3 linked regions of the Kluyveromyces lactis genome follow. The protein of the gene in region 3 interacts with the protein of the main gene of each other region in a biochemical or structural test. Links are inferred from orthologs where the notes say so. Each region holds a gene or a part of one and is shown on either strand. Other genes may lie near its edges.

The links. The genes of interacting proteins can lie anywhere in the genome.
Region 1: of the proteins of MSB3 (region 3) and SEC4, one has a biochemical effect on the other in vitro, tested with the Saccharomyces cerevisiae proteins (3 studies listed by BioGRID). The link is inferred for Kluyveromyces lactis from reciprocal best matches to the Saccharomyces cerevisiae genes MSB3 and SEC4.
Region 2: of the proteins of MSB3 (region 3) and VPS21, one has a biochemical effect on the other in vitro, tested with the Saccharomyces cerevisiae proteins (3 studies listed by BioGRID, with this or other methods). The link is inferred for Kluyveromyces lactis from reciprocal best matches to the Saccharomyces cerevisiae genes MSB3 and VPS21.

What each region holds. Positions count from the first base shown.
Region 1 is NC_006041.1:1,074,136-1,076,462, reverse strand, and holds SEC4 (Rab family GTPase SEC4), read right to left. Parts: upstream 1,165-2,327; coding exon 520-1,164; downstream 1-519. Other genes in the region: VTC2 (vacuolar transporter chaperone), read right to left, coding at 1-39; proteasome activator BLM10, read right to left, coding at 1,530-2,327. UniProt on the Saccharomyces cerevisiae protein: Involved in exocytosis. Maybe by regulating the binding and fusion of secretory vesicles with the cell surface. The GTP-bound form of SEC4 may interact with an effector, thereby stimulating its activity and leading to exocytotic fusion.
Region 2 is NC_006039.1:1,172,105-1,174,474, reverse strand, and holds VPS21 (Rab family GTPase VPS21), read right to left. Parts: upstream 1,147-2,370; coding exon 520-1,146; downstream 1-519. Other genes in the region: KLLA0_C13750g (S-adenosylmethionine-dependent methyltransferase), read right to left, coding at 1-150; type 2C protein phosphatase PTC5, read right to left, coding at 1,557-2,370.
Region 3 is NC_006037.1:671,867-675,558, reverse strand, and holds MSB3 (Rab GTPase-activating protein MSB3), read right to left. Parts: upstream 2,362-3,692; coding exon 502-2,361; downstream 1-501. Other genes in the region: MDY2 (Mdy2p), read left to right, coding at 1-390; RIM21 (Rim21p), read left to right, coding at 3,058-3,692. UniProt on the Saccharomyces cerevisiae protein: Regulates exocytosis by functioning as a GAP for SEC4. Stimulates specifically the GTPase activity of YPT6. Also required for efficient polarization of the actin patches.

The DNA.
Region 1 (2,327 bases), on a different chromosome or scaffold from region 3:
GGGATAAGTATCATTAGCTAGCTTCACACCAAATAGCATTGTGCCTTGAATTTAAAAAGACCAAATCCCTCTTTTGACAATATTATAAGGGTTATAATAAACAGCAACCCTTCCTGGTTATAAAGCTGAAGATGGTGATCAGGATTACACTTCTCAATTCAAGATACAAGGAAGCTGAACAAGAAAATAGAAATCTACCCAACTGTTTATTGGCTAAATAAAATCTTTAAGTCCATCCTTATATCTGTTTCTTTATTTGCATTTCCTTCTAATGCACTCTTTATATAATCATCGATGCCCTTATATTGGGAAAGTTGGGCAATTTTATATTGATCTTGAGTGGCACGTGGAGATGGTCATGTGATTATTTACGTCACGTGTAAATCACCTGATTTGGAATGGTCGTGTAAAGTTACCTTTGAACTTTCTAATACATACCATTTGAATATATATATATATGTACACACACAAAGCCAATGCATAGGTTGTTATTTCTTATTGTACGCTCTGATCTGTGGTTTAGCAGCAATTGGACTTGGAGCCTGAAGAGCCTGAGCCACGAATGCTTACATTTCCCTCCTTTTCAGCCTTTCCTTCCATCTTACCATCATCGATCTTTTCTTGGATCAACTTGGCCAATGTGAAGAAGATTTCGCTGACGTTGGTGTCGTCTTTGGCACTGGCTTCAATGAATGGGATCCCTAGCTCCTTAGCAAGAGCTTCACCTTGTTCGTAAGACACGGTTCTTGTATCCATGTCCTTTTTATTTCCGACTAGCAGCATTACTACATCCTCGCTAGCATGTTGGTTAACAGTGGAGAACCATTGTCTGATGTTTTCAAAAGTTCTTTCGTCAGTAACATCGTAAATCAATACAATACCCATGGCACCTCTGTAGTATGCGGTTGTGATGGTTCTGAACCGTTCCTGGCCAGCAGTATCCCAAAGTTGTAACTTCACACGTTTCCCATTGATGTCTACGGTTTTAATCTTGAAATCGATACCGATTGTGGTGATGAAAGTTGGTGTGAACTTATCTTCAACAAAACGAACCAAAAGACATGATTTACCTACACCGGAATCACCTAGAAGTAAAATCTTCATGACAGAATCATAGTTTTTATTCGTGCTGCCGTTAGCAGAAACCGTTCTTAATCCAGACATTATAGTTTCAATCTCCCTTGTTTCCTTCACGCTTCAATTAAGTGAAAAAAATTGATATCACAGTTCAACACTGTTATTTTATCTCGATATATTGGAGGAGTGGCGAGCTGGTTATATCTGGTCAACAGAATCTGGGTTTTAATAGCTCGGCCGTAAAGTGTTTGGGTTAGTGCCTTTCGTGATGGCTATCCTGCTTTCACCCTTTCAAACAATATTTGTCCAAAATCTAGATACTGATCGAATTCGTATATGGTGATAGGCATACCCAATGTCAAGTTAAATTATACGATTTATACTTGTAGATGTACATATATATTCATGTGCATACGCAGCTTGTGGGTCATCTGTGTCGATTGTGCAACTTCTCAGGCGTAGTAACTCCTCCAAAGAACACCTTCCATATCTTCTAATTGCTCCGAGGTGAACTGGTATCTGTCCAAATGCCAGGTATCTGCTCTAACTTTCTTGTATCTAGAGATGATGTTCTTTGCATCAGCACCGCACATACCGCTTGTTCTTGCCCAGGACGCTAGTAGTGCCATATTCTCTGGAATCCAATTTGGTAACGGTGAAACGTACGGGAATGCTTCGATGATGGCACCGAGACCCAAGATCGCACCGTGAATATCTGTGTTGGATTTGGAGAGTGCAGCTTTCTCCTCGAAAGTATATGAACCAAGTTGACGCTTGAAGTTTTCCAAGAGAGTGTGCAAAGTATCGGTATCATAAGATATGTTATGCACGATACCGGCAAGGACATAGGAAGCCTTGAGACGAACCTCTACAAAACTCTTACAGAACAATTTGTCCAAAACGAACTCTAAGATCTTCACTTTACCAGCATGGTCCATAACCAACGATTGTGTGGAGAAAAGTTTCTCTGCTAAAGTCAAATTCACACGTAATTCATGAGAGCTAGTCAAATCTGTGTCATCCAAGATCGAAATTATGTCAGGTAACAACGTGCGGCTTATTGGAATGTATGCAAGTTCCACGTAAATACTGTAAACCTTAATGTTGACCATTTTACAAACATCTCTCATTCTGTCTAACTTCATCAAGAAGGGTGCCAAATAACATTTAGCAAATGGACCCAGACACACTCTAGCACCAGTATTGATTAAATGAGCAGCCCAATAGAACATAGTTGATGCCAAGTAGAA
Region 2 (2,370 bases), on a different chromosome or scaffold from region 3:
TATCATTTGTTTCTGATGCTCGGACAGTGATTCCCACCTAAGTATTCTGGGTCGCCAGAACTCTTCTAACGCAAATTCCTTGTAACGAAAAAACGAGCTAGCAGTACGCTCCAATAATAGCACATCATTCTCCTCATCTTGGCCATCCATGACAATTTAAAACCCAGGTTGAATCCTTTAGAGTTTCATCACGCATGTATCATCATTCATACATCTCATTACCTGAATAGAGTTCTCTATGATTGAATTCATGAATAATCGATCAATACGGGGATCCGAAAAATTCACTACGCCAATATATATAGAAATAAAATGTAGGTACAAAAAATGTAAATCTAACTGATTTATGTATTACTGGTTATCTTAAACTTCTACTATGATGATATTGGAATATTATAGGCACGGTAGATATCTTGTTCTATTGGCTCCTTTCCTCTGGTTAAAATTAATTTCATCGATTGTTAATATGAATCATTTCGTTAGGCCATTTCCCCTAAAAAGAGGATAGGGTCGTGAGTATTAACAACCACATGAGTTGGGATTCGAGGTATCATCGGGTTTGTTCAAGTCGATCCTTCCATCTTCTGTTCCACGTAACCCATCGGTATTGGACCCATCCGACTTCTTTAAGGGTATTTTCTCTCCAATGGCCAAGAACACTTCGTTGACGTTATCACCAGTCTTAGCGCTAGTCTCGAAGAATAAAAGGTTCTCTTCCTGTGACAATTTTTCAGCCTCTTCTTTGGCTACTTTCCTATCCTCTTCAGATTCCAACAAATCCATCTTATTTCCAACCAATGCGATTACAATCCCTTTGCTCGCTTGTTCGTGTAATTCTTTTACCCAGTGGCGAGCCTTGATAAATGACTGCGGCTTTGTTACATCATAAACCACTAAAGCTGCTTGAGCATTTCTATAATACATTGGGGCCAACGATGCAAATCTTTCCTGACCAGCAGTATCCCAGATTTCAAACTTTATTGTGTGGTCAGCCATATTTACTCGCTGTGTTAGAAAGGCTGCTCCAATAGTGGGTTCTTTATTCTCAGCAAAATCATTGGACACAAAGCGCAAAACAATGGAAGATTTCCCCACCGCAGCTTCTCCTAGGAGTACCAACTTGATAGACGTAACGTTTGAATTCATTTCCTAGTACCTTACAACTGAAAATGACCTTAATATCAATGACGACCAGGTAAATCAAGATTTCTTCTTCGAAAGTTGGTTAATATGATGACTGTATGCTCGAGAGATTGTTTAGAAGAAAATGTGTCTGTCTACAATCTCAAAAACTAATTCGTACACTCTTGTTACCGATAGAGCAATCTGCTACTCCGGTTGTAAACGTTACGTTTCAATAAAAGTAGGGAGCATCGTTCATCCTTTTTTTAGTTTTATTTAGTTTTAGTATCTTTTCCCATAACGAAAACAAGGCTTTTGAATGTTGATAGTAGGTCACGTGCTTGGTGAACCTTCCTTCGAATCAGTGTGTTTATATAAGTGTCAAAAACGGTTATTTAACTAAATAACAACACTTTTATGCTAAGACTGCGGGTTCAGAGTTTAGATTCTTCTGGTTTGGTGGCTTTGTGGTTGAGTTCTAATTTACCATCAATGCCCTCAGTTTCTTCACCGAAAAAGACAACGGTGACAGTCAAGTCGTCTCTGTAACGTCTACTCTTCGTTGGAGGTATACTGACCAATGTAGAAACGTATTCTTTGTTACCGCCTCCACTGAGAGCGTTTCTGATTAGATGAGTTGCTACGTTTTCGTCTTGCATGAGATATTCGCTCTTAGAGTCAGGTTTTTTGGAGCTTTGGTACCTAAAAGCAGGCCTTTGTGCTTCTTTGTCTGGGGAGATGTCTTCTAGCTTTGGTAATTTACCTTGTGGAGATTGTTCCTTCAACATTTTGAAATTCTTTTTGATAGGATGTGATTCCATCCATTTCACAACGAGACCTGCGATTTCGTCATTACTCAACAACTCGAAAAGACCATCAGATCCTAAAACCATGAATTTAGTTTTAGGGTCCACGTTTGTTGTGGTTATTTCCGGCTTTGCTGTTACGTAAGGAGGTGTCAAGAAATCTTTAGGTTCCCTCCTGAAATATATCTTCAAATGGTCAGGTAGATCATAAACGGTTTTCCCATTTATCTCTTTCACTTTGTACCTGTAGTCACCAAAAGCCCTTGAAGGTTGGAGAGATCCTAGTATTCTACCCTGACGTACACAGTTTGGTTCATCAGGGTGCTCCTTCTGGATTCTCTCGACCTCTTGTACATTATCACCAGTCTGATCGGTACTTAAGGATTTTACAGTCCAAGCACCATCGTCAGACTGTTTTACCAAAATAGCACGTGAATCTCCG
Region 3 (3,692 bases):
ACCGTGGGTCAGATCAAGGAATTCTTAGTGGAAACCGAGCCTGAGATATATACAACTGGTCAAATCAAGTTGTTGTTAAAGGGTAAAGTCCTCCACGACACTCAATTGGTCTCCGATTTGAACCAGGATAAAATATCCCTTGTCGCAATGGTTTCCAAAGCAGAGAAACCTGTGGAAACAGCACCTTTGCCGAAACCAGCGCAGGAACCTGAACCTGAACTTGAGTTGATGGATGTCGATATGGAGGATCCACAGTTGGATCTTTCATCTCAAACAGATATTGATTTGCCTTGGGATAAAATTAGAACCGTTTTAGAGAGTAGCTTGGATGCTAGCACGGCCTCAGTGGCCCTTGGAAGGCTACAGAAAGGTTGGGAGTTGAGTAAGTAAAAGATAGAACATGTCATTTGTTGGTCCATAATGCAAAACAACCCGGTTATATATGTAGTGATTTTATACTTTTAGATATTTCTGCTCTTTCTTCCATTGGTGATGAGAGAATTACCTCTTTCTGCTCAATCTACGTACTCTTTCTTTGATGTTATTATTCCAATTTACCCCATTTAAACCCTTCTTGAATCCGTATCCTTCGTTAGAAAAGGTTTCATTGATCAGTTCCTGTGCCAATTTGGAGTCTCTCTTATTATTGGAGTTGGTGGTTTCATTCTTCATTACATCTTGGAAGTTCTTGTATTTGGCTCTTTGAGAGATAACGTACTTCTTACATCGTTCGATTTCCTCTTGATTGAGTGCATTGAATCTCAATCTCCTCTTGAAGATGGCTTTGTCTATAATATCGTTGGGGTTTATCAACCGTCTAGGGTATGTTTGAATAGCTTGGAATAATTCCATGTCTTCATCGTCTGAGTTTCGGCTGCTAACGTGATTTAATTTTGGTAAATTGGTCTCGCTTAGTTCGATGATCGCTAACGACATCTTGAAAAGAATGTGTGAACCCTCATAGAAGAGACAATCCCATATACGTAAGGTAGCTTCAATAGGTACTACTCCTATGAAACAGCTCATGAACCAACTGGCAGTACAGAGTGTGACTGGTGGCAACTTATAGAGAAATTCGTTCTTATTGGATAGGCCGGGACTGTGTTGTTGATCTTTATTGGAATATATTCTTTGCCAAAAGTGTGGCAGATACTCTTTTATGCATAGTAAAAGCACACCTTGGTTAATATTGACACCTTCCAGGTTAATACTATGCACTCCTGGTAAGTACCTAGATGTCATTATTACTAGCATCCAAAATGCACGTTCTTCATCCATGAATAATAGTAAAAGACCAACTAAGAAATTCATCGATTGACAATAACCGATCTTAGCGTTATAGATGGCGAAAGCCTTTAAGATCCTCCTTAAAGATTTTATAATTAGTGGGTCCTCGGAACTGACCTTGGATCTTTGGAAATGGATATTATCAGGGAAAGTCCGATGTAAATCTCTTTCTATAATCTCAGTATCTTTACTTGTAAAGCTTGGATCATTGATCTTAGTCAGTAATTTATCATAAACACCAATGTTTTTATTCAAAAGCTCTTGACCGCGGGCAAAATACCACCAAGCATTACCTCTCCATTCAGCTGGTATACCTTTTCGCACGTATCTCTTCAACTTTTCCGACTTTGAAGGGAATCGACTTGGAGAATCATTATCTACTGGTAAACCTGATTTTAAAAGTAGGTCTTTCCATTTCCGTTTCCTTCGAATGCAGTACTTGGAGTACTCTGACCACCATTCGTTATATTGTTTCTCTGAGATATATTGGTTCTGCTTCATGAATCCATACCTATCCAAATGTGAATCCTTCACCTTGATTGAAGCTGCATCTTCTATCAGAGACGAGTTTCCAAGCAATTGACTCGCACGAGATTCCGATTCTGGCGTGGGCAATTGACCGATCCCATTCAACGCATCTGATGACCCACTATCATCTAAATTAATGGTCTTATCCTCGGTTGCTAGTGTTAACGCTCCCTCATTCAACTCCAATTCTGATGATCCACTGTTATTCTGATTGATCTTATGTCCCTTCATCGAAACTTGACCTATCTCTTCTTCGTTCTCATCATCCAAATCGTAGTATAGATTTATCAGAGATAATCCAGCTGAGTTCTCCCTTAATATCGTGCTCTTGGGGCGTTTGCTTCCAGATATACGTTCCGAGTTAGAATTGTTTCTAACAACATTCTTCCGTAACGCAACTCCCCCGTCACTAACAGCAATTGACTGTTCACTAGTATTCAAATCACTGAATTTTCGATTCAGGTCTGGTACACTCGGCGAAAACATCGTGTGTAAACGTATTGGACCTTTATACATACGATTTGCCTGATTTTGATCCTGATTCATCTAGTTTCACCTTCGGTTTTACAGTCATGTGATGTTCTATAAACAAAAAAAATCACCAAAACAAACTGGAAAAAGTTACCTTGATGAGCTTTGAATTCAGCTACGCGTCTCAGATCTTGGTATGTTGCAACTTTGGATATTTATCTGCCCGATATGAAAACCAAACACGTCCCTTAGCACCTTGAAAGACCTATGCCTCTCTCTTGAATTTTGGTTGTAGAGTGTGAGAGCTTCAAACCTGCTAGTCATTTGATCAGAAATCCTTTAAGCAGTAATGAAAACAGATCGAGAAATCAATTTCAGTCATGCTTTTTTCACGTGATTGTCACGTGAAAGAACATTCAGTACACATTTCGTGGTTTATACCACCTAGGACATGTGTTCGCCCCCAGTGTTGGAGTCTGGTACCACATAGTGAGTCTGTGGAGGTTGTTTGTAGGTTTACTCTAATGGTAATGGTAACTACAAGTGTATGTCACGCCTTTCTTTTATACTCCACATTCATATTTGAACTTTTAGACTTAAAACCACACCTGCGATGAGCATTGAAGACTTGAAAGGAAATTAGTAAAACGGAGAGAGAAATATAAGTTAAATAACCCATTAGCTCATCTGTGTGGTACTGGAGACCGGCTGCTGATGTGTGATGTTGGATGGTGTTTAGTATCGAAGTTAATTTCACTGTTATAGATCAATATGACAGGGCGTTCCAGATGGAGATATCATTTCCCGTCAGAGGACTATTCAAGTTGTCAAGGTGTCCAATTAGACGAAGGTGTGCTAATATGGAATAAACTACCCGATAAGTTCGCCTATATCAAGTCATTAGTGTTTACAAGTAATTGTCAAGACGGCACGCCATTATATTCATCGTTTGTGGAGTTAGAGGATGAGTGTCCGTATCTTCCTATTGTGGCTTTCGATTGGAATAGTTATATCAACAACGATGGATATACAGGACCGTTCAAATACAGCATCTATTCTGTCATTTATTCTGTTACTGCCAACTTTATCATCACTGTTTTCCTAACGGTGATCGTTTTCATCAACGTTCCTACCAAACCCAGTCGTAAGGCGTCGTACATTTTGAAATTGGGTGCGTTGTTGGCATCATTAAACCTTTCCATATTTGTCATTAGAGTATGGAAGAATATTGCAGAGAATTATACTTATAATGGTTATGTGTCATCTACATCGTTTTTGAATCTTCTTTGGGGCGATAAGGTATTTGCTGGTATCGATTTAGTTGTTGTATTCTTATTGCAGATTAGCCAGGTGCAGATTGTGATGAGATTCTTTGATAGAATGCAAGAGAAGAGGATGGTTTTCTA